3 linked regions of the Oryctolagus cuniculus genome follow. The protein of the gene in region 1 interacts with the protein of each later gene in a biochemical or structural test. Links are inferred from orthologs where the notes say so. Each region holds a gene or a part of one and is shown on either strand. Other genes may lie near its edges. The genes, in order: MAPK3, MBP and DUSP1.

Region 1 (3,529 bases):
CCTTAACTGCGTGCCTCCCCCTGCCCCCTGCCCCCTGCCTGGGGGAGGGGCGGGGTCTCGGGCCGTTCCCAGCTACATCGTGCAGGACCTCATGGAGACAGACCTGTACAAGTTGCTCAAAAGCCAGCAACTAAGCAACGACCACATCTGCTACTTCCTCTACCAGATCCTGCGGGGTCTCAAGTACATCCACTCGGCCAACGTGCTCCACCGGGACCTGAAGCCCTCCAACCTGCTCATCAACACCACCTGCGACCTTAAGGTCCGCGGCTGGCCGCGGCGAAGCTGTGGGAGGAGTGGGAGTGCTCGGGCCTGCAGGGGCCCCGAGCCCTGCGTTCAGCAGCCTGGGTTTCATTGCAGATCTGTGATTTCGGCCTGGCCCGCATTGCAGACCCTGAACATGACCACACCGGCTTCCTGACGGAGTACGTGGCCACGCGCTGGTACCGGGCCCCAGAGATCATGCTCAACTCCAAGGTAGGCAAGCCTGGCAGCCCGGAAGGGAAAGCCTCAGGCCCCCAGGGCGGCCCTGGAGCCACCCTCCCTGAGCGAGGCTCTGGAAGTCCACCCTCTGCAACGTGGCCTCTGGAAGGAAGCTGAGCACCGGCTCTCCAGGCCTCTGCCCCGGATCTCGGTTGGAAGCGGTGGCTTGGCCCAGGCCGCAGGGCCCTGCCGAGGCTGGCTCGGGAGTGCAGCACTGTTTTCCTGTCATCCCCAGGGCTATACTAAGTCCATCGACATCTGGTCTGTGGGCTGCATCCTGGCCGAGATGCTCTCCAACCGGCCCATCTTCCCTGGCAAGCACTACCTGGACCAGCTCAACCACATTCTAGGTGAGGGGGCCTGACCCACCCGGGGGAGGCTCAGGCTCAGGCTCAGGGTCAGGGTCAGAGTCAGAGTCAGGGGTACCACCACTTGTGGAACTTCTCCAGCATCTCCCAGCATCTCCGTGAGCAGAGACAACTATCCCCATTTGGTGGATGGGAAAAGCAAGGCCGAGAGCCGTCACACCTAAAGAAGTGCTAGGGCCAGGATTTGAACCCAGGCTGCCTGGGTCCAGACCCCTTGTCCTTCTCACTGTGAGGCAGGTGGCTGGGCTGGGGGTGCTTGTCTGGGCTTCTTTGCCTCTGTATCCCAGGACGGAGGAGGAAGGCGAGGTCTCACCAAGTCGCCTGCCTTCCTTCTGCCCAGGCATCCTGGGCTCGCCGTCCCAGGAGGACCTGAACTGCATCATCAACATGAAGGCCCGGAACTACCTGCAGTCCCTGCCTGCCAAGACCAAGGTGGCCTGGGCCAAGCTGTTTCCCAAGTCAGACTCCAAAGGTGAGTGAGACGCCACGCCCAGGGAGGATAAACCTTGAGTGGGGACGGGGGCTCACGATCCGGGCACCTGCCTGTGTGGACGGGGCCCTGGGTGCCGAAAAGCAAAGGGAGCCTCCCCTTCCGGGAGCCCCTCCCCCCTCCGCCTTCTCCGTGAGCCCTGACTCCCGCCCTCTGCCAGCCCTGGACCTGCTGGATCGGATGTTGACCTTCAACCCCAACAAGCGCATCACTGTGGAGGAGGCCCTGGCTCACCCCTACCTGGAACAGTACTATGACCCGACGGACGAGGTGCCGTGGCGGCGGCGGCAGCGGTGGTGGGGTGGTGGTGGGGGGCCGTCTGGGGGTGTGGGCGTCTCCGGGGCCTGGGGGCGTGGGCGTTTCCGGGGCCTGGCCCGAGAGCCCTCCTGTCTCTGCCTGTGTAGCCGGTGGCCGAGGAGCCCTTCACCTTCGACATGGAGTTGGATGATCTACCCAAGGAGCGGCTGAAGGAGCTCATCTTCCAGGAGACGGCCCGCTTCCAGCCGGGGGCTCCGGAGGGGCCCTAGCCTGCGCGGCAGCCCTGTCCCCGGGGCCTGGTGAGTGGCCCTCTCACCCCACACCGACTGCGAGCCAGCCCTGGCGTCCCTGATCCACCTGTACGGTGGTGACAAAAGGTGCCCAGACTCATGACCCACCCAGGCCCTTAAGTCCCCACCTGTCTACACTGCACCCACAGCGGCCCCTGGGGCCCCGTCCCCGCTGTGGGCAGCTGACCCACACTTCTGCTCGCCCACATGGACAGGTGGGGCCCCGCAGCAGGTGGCCCAAGCCAGGTGCCTCCTCACCACTCAGGGCAGCCGTTCCCACACCCGGGGGCCTCGGCGGGCCCACCCAGACCCACGCCGACCCACGCCGCAGAGCTGCCATTGTGCAAGCCGCCTCGCCCATGCACTTCCACTTCCTGGAGGCTGCTGTGCTCTCCAAGCCAGGGCCGATCCAGCCCTCCACGCCCTCCGCGGGTTCATTCACCTGTAGCTTCACCCTGGGAGAGGACCCTGTCCTCACTCCGCTGGTGGAGGGGCCAGGGAGACCCGACGTGGGCTGGGGGGCCGTGAGGCCCCGTGGGGTCTCACAGCTCCTCCCCCGTCTGCCTTTTCCCTTAGGGCCTGCCTGCTGCCTGCCCCTCTACGCTCGGACTGTTAGAAAACGGACACTGTGCCCGGCTGGGGCGGAGTGTGGGCCTGGCCCCATCTCGCTCCTGCTTCAGACAGGCCAAGAGCCCCCTCCCCCCTGCTCCTGCCAGGGCCTGAGGGCCTCGGGCGACCCCACAGTAGATCTCCCCCCAGCTCTGCCTCCATCTACCCTGGCTATCCCAGGCTGGTCCTTCTGGACCTCCGGAGGGGCGGGGCGGGGCGGGGACACTGAGCAGGGACTCAGGGCAAACCCTGCCCCCTCCCCCTTACCCCCCCCATCTCCCTGGGGGAACATTCCTGAGTCTCAAGGGCTAGTATCCCTGAGGAGAGGGCCCCCCACCCCGGCCTCAGCCCCTCCCCCCAAAGCTGCCACATTAACGTCCTCGCTGCTTCTGTGTGTGGGTGAGCGGGAGTGGGGGCGCCCCCGCCCGCCCCCGTGCCTGTATCTAATATATAAATATAGAGATGTGTATATGATGACCGTGACCGTGTTTCTGTTCGCCCCTGCCTTGGCCCAGCCAGGGCTGCTTGGGACCGACCCCCCTCCAGCCCAGCAGACTCCTGGCCCAGCCCTGGTGACCTTTGGCCCCAGGCTGGCCAGGGTTGAAAACTGGGGGGGGGGGGGGCAGTGTTCCAGACTGCTGGAAAGGGGAGAGTGTCAGTTTTCCCTTTAGTCACCAACCTCTTCCCTGTAATGACTTCCTGTGGAACTGGCTGGGGGTGACTCAGGGGTACGCTATACACCCCCAGCTTCTCTGGAAATGGCCAGGGAGCGAGCGTGTTATACACCTTGGCCACAAGCACCCATGGAGCCTGCGGGGAGGGGGCGTTACTCCTCCCAGGCAGCCCAGGACAGAGGGGTGTCGGGGTCCAGGGAGCGTCTGGATGTGTTCAGAGTCAGGGCTGCTGCCTGGCTGCCTCCTGTCTGTCCCCCAGCCCCAGCTGAGCCCTGCAGCCTGGCCCAGGGCCAGCAGCAGGCTCAGCAAGTCCCAGGGGCGTGGCGCGGGGCTCAGCCAGCCTACGCTGGTTCGCTG
Region 2 (3,741 bases), on another chromosome or scaffold:
GGGAGGGGTCTCACACTGTGGGGTGGGAGGGGTCTCACCCTGTGGGGTGGGAGGGGTCTCGCCCTGTGAGGTGGGAGGGGTCTCGCCCTGTGAGGTGGGAGGGGTCTCACCCTGTGGGGTGGGAGGGGTCTCACTGTGAGGTGGGCAGGGTCTCACACTGGAGTGAGGGGTCTCACACTGTGGTGTGGGAGGGGCTTCACCTTGTGTGAGGTGGGAGGGGTCTCACACTGGGGAGAGGGGTCTCACCCTGGGGGGAAGTGAGGGGTGGTCTTGGAGTTGTCATGGGAAGGCTACTCTTCGGACATTGGCGCTGGGCCACCGTCTAGGACCCGCCTCAGAGCGGTGGGCTGGGAGTCCCCTGTCCCAGCGCTGGCTGCTGGCCCAGGAACCAGAGGGGACCCCGGGCGCGGTCCACGTAGCACTGCGCGGGTCCCCGCCTCCTCCTCGTGGGGGCGGATGCCACTGCCCGCGCATTCAGTCCAGCAAGGACGCTCGGCCTGGTTCCTGTCCCCTGGGAGCGAGCTCGGGACCCGGGGAAACCCCGCGGGGCCGCACCGCGCCCGGGTGTCCCGGTGAGCAACGTCCACGGGGCGGCCGCCTGCGGGTCACGAGGGGGAGCGCGCGCTGGGTGCCGTGGCCCCGGCCCGCACCTGCGCTTCCCGTGCGGGAGCCCGCACCAGCCCGCCGAGTCCTGCCCCGCGCCTGGGGCAGGCGGGGCGCGCGCCGCGCGGGTCGGGCTCGGGCCCCGCGGGCGAGCGCGGCGAGTTCCGGGCGCGCGGGGCGGGCCCGGCGGCGCGGCAGCCGCTGTTTACCTGGCGCGCAGGAAGCCCGCGGGGCGCGCGGGCGGGGCGGGGACGCGGGGTGCGCGCCCGCGCCTCGGAGCCGCCGCCGCCAGCGAGCACGAGCCTGCGGCCCGGCCGCCCGCGTCCTCGGCCCCGGGACCCCGCGCCGCCCGCGCCCGCAGCCGCCGGAGTCGAGCGGGGAGAACGGCCTGGGGCCCCAGGGCGGCCCTCGGCCCCGGAGCGCGAGCGCACGGCAGGTGGGTGACCCTCGCGGGAGCGCGACCCCGGAACGGGCCCCCCGCCGGCCCGGGAGCGCGCAGGGGGCCGAGCAGGTGGCATGGCCGGGCGGCCTGTGGGACCCGACTTCGGGTCCCCAGCCCCGTGGCCACTGCGTGCGGGTGTAGACGCCCGTCTACGGCGGCGAGCGCTGCCACCCGACGGGTTTCCAAGCGTGGACCTCGGCCGGCCTGGTGGCCCCGGCGTGGCAGAACCGGGTGCGGGTGGAGGTGGGGAGGAGGCCCGGGGTGCGAGGTGAGCGCGGCGGCGGGCTGGTGGCCGGGGGTCCGGGGGTCCAGGCTGGCTCGCGGGCCTTCCTCGCGCCCCTCCCCCAGGGCAGGTGCAGTTTCCCTCTGAGCCCCGAGGGCGGCGCCGGGAGGCCGGTCCGGCTTACGCCTTCACGCGGCCCACCTGCCTGCCCCGGCCGCCCCCTCGCGCCTCGGCTTTGGGGGCCCCGGGTGGACCCGCTTCGGCGCCCTGTTGGGGAAGCTGGGGGTTGGGGGAGCCGGGAGCTACGCTGGGGCCCCTGGTAAGGCGCTGGCGGGAGGCGGCGTCTTTGGGGCCCTGGTTGTGCCGCCGGTGGGGCCGCCCGCGCTGGGCCTGGCGGTGCCGGGAGCGCAGGTGCTCCGGGTGCCTGGGGAACAGAGCTCATTAGAGTCGAAGGCTCGCCTTTTGCCACCTGCGTTTCTTGGAGCCTGGGTGCCCCCGGCCCAGGGAGGGTCCCCAGGTCGGGAGGCAGCTGAGCTGGCATCTCTGCCCTCCCAGGCGGGGCCTAGGCCACAGGGGCAGGGGGGACACTGACCCCCAGGACTTCCCTGCTCGGTTTGGACCACTTGTTATCCGCTGGCCGGGCAGCCCTGGGTGCAGGGTGTTTTTAAAGTCCCTGTCTGCCTCAGGCCGCCTGCTGGCTTTGCCTGGGTGTTCCCCCTGTGGTCAGTGACACGGTGCAGGTGTCAGGGAGCGCTGAAGACCGGAAACCAGGCCTCTCACGAGGTTCCTGCTCCCCTCTGAGTTGGGCTTCCTTGCTGTGACTGCCCGCTGTCTGCGTGGGCCATCCTCTCCTTGGCCTCCTGGGTTGTCTAGAGAGAGAACAGAGTATTTGGATGGCTCCCGCGTGGTGTTAAGTGAATCGTCTGTGTGCGATTGGACACTCGGGGTGTTCCGTTCAGCCCCCCTAAAGGAAGCCCCGGCAGAGAGCTCGCTGCTTGTTGGCCTCTGAGCGGTGGGGCACGCTCCTGCCGCAGGCAGGCCTCACCCAGACGAGCTGACCAGAGGGACAGGCGCGTTCCTGACCGGCTGCGAGGAATGAGCTTGCGCACTGCAGGCCTCAGGGCAGGACAGCGCAGGCAGGGTCTCCCGCAAATGGCAACCCGCGTAACTGCGTGTGTGTTTGGAACCACTGGGACTGCGTGGTCATTAAAATGTGGCTGTGGGAGCAGGCGTGTACCCAGTGGTGAAGGTGCCCGAGTCCCACGGTCGGTTCTTTCCTGGCCCGGCCCTGACTCCAGGTGTGTGCTGGTGTACACCCCGGGAGGCAGCCATCATGGCCGGGTGATCGGGGCCCTGCCAGTTACGGGTTGAAACCCAGATTGCATTCCTGGCCCTGCAGCCTGGGCCCCTGTCTGTTGTGGGCATTTGAGGAGTGAGCCAGTGCATAGGCGCTCTCTCCCTGTGTCTGCCCAGCCGCTGCGTGTGTGTGTGTGTGTGTGTGTGTGTGGTCTCTGCCCCTCAAATACATAACCGTAGTTCTGAGTGTTAATTTATCCTGGACTCGGTGAGGGGCTGTGAGACGCTATTATGATAAGCAGGAGACTGCAAACTGAGAATAAGCAGAGCTGTGTGATGTTCGCATCTGGAAGACACGAAGTGCTGTAACCGTCGGTGACCGTAAGCACACTGCTGTGGAGTGAAATCTGGGCCTGCACAAGCTGCACTGCGTGGACGGTGAAGGCCAGGTGGACGGACGAGACCCACGGAGGACCTCAGCGCTGATAACCAGGGGCGGAAAACCGGAGCGGCAGTTAGAACACGTCCACGCTCTCCTCCTGCGCCAGTTTTAAATCCTGACTCGGCTAAGCAGCGAGGAAGCGGGGTGACTCTCAGTGTGTCCATAGGAATCCCCACGGCAGGGGCCGTCCACCCAGCCGGACACAGCGGCCCCCTGGGACCCACGGGGTTCGCTCCAGGCACGTCCGTCCTCGCGGGAGCCTCGGGCAGGGCCAGAGCAGGACGCGTGCTCGCCAGTTTGTGATCATTGTAGATGCACAGGCACGTGTAACGAACCCCGGAGATGCCACGTGCCACTCCACTAGTTCCCCGAGTGCCACCATCTTGGAAAACTCGGTTCCGGCTGGCAGGCAGGAGGCCAGCGTTGATGCAGGCCCTTCTCCTCGTGCAGATGTCAGCAGTGTGTGTGTGAGTGTCCTCCTTGCTGTGTCACTGTCACCCACGGCGAGCCGTGTGACAGCCAGTCTGCAGGGCGGCTTCCTCCCAGGACGCCTGCTGGGTCCCTTGATGGAGTCAGCGCCCTGCACTGCCCCGCCCTGAACTCTGGAAACCACCGTCTCTTCCTCCTCTTCTGTAGCTTCGTCACTTCAAGGGCGCGCTCTGCTCACGCTGGGTGGCTCTCTTCCTCACTGAGCCCAGCTCCCTTGATGCCCGCACCTGAGGGCCATCGCGTGTC
Region 3 (3,741 bases), on another chromosome or scaffold:
GAGCCCAGTGGAAGCCAGGTGACGTTACATAAATAAGGCCCGGTGTGCGCTCGTGAGCCCCCTCCCGGGAGTCATTGCCTTTCTCCACCAAGGAGGAAGCCTGGAGTCCCGGGCGCGCGTGGAGGTGGAGGTGGCGCTCCTAGCCCCGCCCCGGCCTCTCAGCAGCTGGGGGAGGTGGTGATGGGGCTCTGAAGGTAGCTCAGGGCACTGTTCGTGGGGTGTACGGGAATGGAGACGGGGAAGTTGAAGACAGTGGTGGTGGCGGTGCCGCGGTCCAGCACAGCCATGGCGGGGCTGCTGGCCTCCGCCGAGCAGTGCGGGGCCAGCACCTGCGATTCAAACTGCAGCAGCTGGCCCATGAAGCTGAAGTTGGGGGAGATGATGCTCCGTCTCTGCTTCACGAACTCAAAGGCCTCGTCCAGCTTCACGCGGTTAGTCCTCATGAGGTAAGCGAGGCAGATGGTGGCGGACCGGGAGATGCCCGCCTGGCAGTGGACGAACACCCTTCCTCCGGCATTTCTGATGGAGTCTGGAAAACAAGAAGTGCGGCTGCTTACTAGAGAGCTCGGGAGAGGGACCCCAAGTCCAGGCAAAAAGCGTCAAAGAACAATGTCACACGTGTCCTACCCAGGCGGCCAACATCACCTTACGCTAGCCCATGGACTTATGCTATCATGGAGGGCACCGTGCAAAGGGGCAGCAAGGGACTAAACCCAGATGGGGTGTCTCCACTTAGCAGGTTGATTCTGGGCAAGTCCACTTGCCAAGCCTCGGTTTGCTCATGCGCAGGGTGGGACATCAAGTCCTCATTCTGCAAGGATGATGTCCACCCGAGATGGACAGTTCATGTCTGGTGGATGGCTCACAAGAGCAGCACCCAAGTCCTCTGCCAGACAGGTTGAAACGGGGAGGCATCAGCAGTGCCGGGCGTCCGTCCCACTCACCTATGAAGTCGATGGCCTCGCTGAACCAGGAGCTGATGTCTGCCTTGTGGTTGTCCTCCACAGGGATGCTCTTGTACTGATAGTGACCCTCAAAGTGGTTGGGACAGTTGGCTGAGACGTTGATCAAGGCCGTGATGCCCAGGGCATCCAGCATGTCCTTGCGGGAAGCGTGATAGGCACTGCCCAGGTATAGGAAGGGCAAGATCTCCACCGGGCCACCCTGTGAGGCAGAAAGACCCAAACACTGCTCAGGCCGGCTCCAGGGCACCACCAGCACCCACACCCACAAAAACTCCCCAGTGGAAAAGTCAGTGGTGAACTTCTCAGTACCCCTGCTGCTGCTGCTGGAGTATAAACAAACAGGGGTCTAAGCCCATGTGCCCCTGGCAGCACCAGCCAGTTCATTTCTGTAGTGCCATGCATCAGACACGCAGAGCCATTGAGTGTCCCCAAGTCCCCTTTATAAATAAAGCTGCAGGTCACTTTCCACGTTCTCACGGGCACCCTCTTCCAAGCCTTGCTGGCCCCGACTCCTCCCCTCTGGCACGGGGCCCCACTGACCTGATCGTAGAGCGGGGTGCTGCAGGAGCTGCATCCGGATTCCGCGCTGTCCGGGATACTGGTGGTCAGGGGAAGGCTGAGCCCCATGGGGGTCGACTGTTTGCTGCACAGTTCTGGGCAGGACGCCGAAAACGCCTCATAACCTCCTGGCAACAGAGAGAGGAAGGTTTGCTTCCATCAGCATCGTTGAGCCAAGGTCCCTTCCCACAAAGCCCCCACCCCACCAGGCGCTCCAAGTTCATATCGCTAAGGCCCAAGCAAGTCTTTGTTCCCAGGACCAGACAAAGCCGGTGTGACAAGTCCCCAGAGCCACAACGCCGCGCCCATGCGCTCCAGGTAGGACTCGGGCGCCGGTCCCCGCCCCCACTAGAGAGCCAAGGGCCAAGGGGCCCCCGGCAAGGCAGCGCTGCCCCGAGGTCGTACCTTTGAGGAAGAAGACGTGCGCGGCGCGCGCCTCCCGGCACAGCGCGCCCGCCGCCAGGGCCAGGGTGCCGTCGCGCTTGGCGCCGTCCAGGGCGACACTGCGCTCGTCCAGCAGCACCACGGCGTGGTAGGCGCCGGCCAGCAGGCGGCCGCGCAGCTCGGCGTTGGGCACGATGTGCTCCAGCCCCATGGCGCCCTTGGCCCGGCGCCGCACGATGGTGCTGAAGCGCACGTTGACCGAGCCGGCGATGTGGCCAGCGTTGAAAGCGAAGAAGGAGCGGCAATCCAGCACCAGGCACTGCGCCGCGCGCTCCCGCAGCAGCGTCCGCAGGCCTCCGGCGTCCAGGATGCCCACCTCCATGACCATGGCCGGCCTCAGAGCCCCCAGCGTGCACGTCGCTCCGGAGTCCTTTGTCTGTCCCCGGACGCCAAGAGCAGAGCGGCGACGGCTTTCGAGGAAAAGTCCGACCCCGACTCTCTGGGCGCGGAACAAGACACTGCCTTTGGGCCGAGCGAAGGGCGTCACACGGGACTGCAGCCACCCGGGCTTTCTCCAGCCGCTCCCGGGACCGTCCCTGCTCCGGCGACCGCAGCGCCTCTCCTACAATCCAGTCGTCCTTCTCGACGAGCTCGGCCCCGGGGAGTGCAGTTATATGGGCCTCTCCGGGGGCGGGGCGGGGCGGGGCTGGCGCGCGCTGGGAGGGGGAAGGGGGGTTTGTTTGTTTGAATGGCGGCCACGTGACCGGGTGGTGACGTCACCCACCCGGCCCGGCCCGGCGCCACCAGAGCCAGAGGCAAAGACGTCATCGGCCTCGGAGCGGGGTGCGCTCCCCGCGAGCTGGCTCGCGCCCCAGCCCCGGCCTGCTCCTGGCTCGTCCCCAGAGACCCAGCCGGCTCGGCTCGGCTCGGCTGTACGCGCCCCGCGGGAGGACAGGGGCGCGCTGCCAGCCGAAGGCTGACCTCCGCCACCTGCCTCGGCCTCTCGGCGCTCGGCGCCGCCGCTGGGTCCTCTCGGCCGCTCGCCTCGTGTCCTCGCTAACGGGCCGGGCTGCCGGGGTCCCGACGGCCAGCGTGGAGGGTGGGGGGCGGCGGAGAGGAGCTCACGATGTGGACCGGGGAGGGCGGGCGGAGAATGAACAACTCTGTCCCTGGAAATGGCGTCCCCACCAGGAGAGAGGCCGGAGTGAGAAAGAAAGAAAAACTTTGTATACGTTGAGCAAGAACAATGGCGTCCAGTGAGCCACCCCACCCCCCATCTCCGCCGCGGGACAAATAGCTCCTCTAGTCATGTAGTCCCTACGAGGTTGGAGCAGAGGAAGGCAGAGCGCGGGGCGGCAAGCCCGGGGCGGGGGGCGCGCGGGTCGGCGCCTGGGGACGGGCCGGGCGGCTCCACTGGGGTCGCTGGTGCGCGCGCGCGCGTGTTACCTTGGCTCGAGGCCGAGGCCCCTGGGCCCCGGCTTTGCGCACCCCAGCCCCATTGCGCGCCCTCGTAGCGTCTGCCCAGCGCTCCCCAGCTCACAACCCAGCCACGCGCGGGGAGAGCGGCTGCAAGACGCGCGCCCCGAGCCCTGCTGACCACCCCCTGGGCAGGAGAGCCGCCTTCGCGGCGACAGCGGCATGTCGGGTCCACAAACAAACCTTGCGCCACCGGCCGAGTGCAGAATCGGGAACATTCTGCGGTTTCCCCTCTGCTCTCCTGGGGGGAGGGGTGTTCGCTGCCAGCCTGCGTCGTCCCTCTGTGGGTTCTAACACCAGAGACAGCTTCTCCCTTTGCCTAGCGTAGCTTGTGCCAAGTGCCATGCAGAGACTTTGT

What was found.
Region 2: of the proteins of MAPK3 (region 1) and MBP, one has a biochemical effect on the other in vitro, tested with the Homo sapiens proteins (5 studies listed by BioGRID). The link is inferred for Oryctolagus cuniculus from reciprocal best matches to the Homo sapiens genes MAPK3 and MBP.
Region 3: of the proteins of MAPK3 (region 1) and DUSP1, one has a biochemical effect on the other in vitro, tested with the Homo sapiens proteins (2 studies listed by BioGRID and IntAct). The link is inferred for Oryctolagus cuniculus from reciprocal best matches to the Homo sapiens genes MAPK3 and DUSP1.

Annotation. Positions count from the first base shown.
Region 1 is NC_091450.1:7,469,079-7,472,607, reverse strand, and holds the end of MAPK3 (mitogen-activated protein kinase 3), read left to right. Parts: intron 1-72; coding exon 73-262; intron 263-360; coding exon 361-477; intron 478-718; coding exon 719-833; intron 834-1,191; coding exon 1,192-1,323; intron 1,324-1,501; coding exon 1,502-1,611; intron 1,612-1,745; coding exon 1,746-1,868; 3' UTR 1,869-1,898; intron 1,899-2,465; 3' UTR 2,466-2,972; downstream 2,973-3,529. Other genes in the region: lysophospholipase D GDPD3, read left to right, coding at 3,381-3,529.
Region 2 is NC_091441.1:2,201,677-2,205,417, forward strand, and holds the start of MBP (myelin basic protein), read left to right. Parts: upstream 1-932; 5' UTR 933-1,039; intron 1,040-3,741. UniProt on the Homo sapiens protein: The classic group of MBP isoforms (isoform 4-isoform 14) are with PLP the most abundant protein components of the myelin membrane in the CNS. They have a role in both its formation and stabilization.
Region 3 is NC_091437.1:59,322,179-59,325,919, forward strand, and holds the start of DUSP1 (dual specificity protein phosphatase 1), read right to left. Parts: upstream 2,572-3,741; 5' UTR 2,296-2,571; coding exon 1,929-2,295; intron 1,652-1,928; coding exon 1,506-1,651; intron 1,165-1,505; coding exon 945-1,164; intron 530-944; coding exon 159-529; 3' UTR 1-158. UniProt on the Homo sapiens protein: Dual specificity phosphatase that dephosphorylates MAP kinase MAPK1/ERK2 on both 'Thr-183' and 'Tyr-185', regulating its activity during the meiotic cell cycle.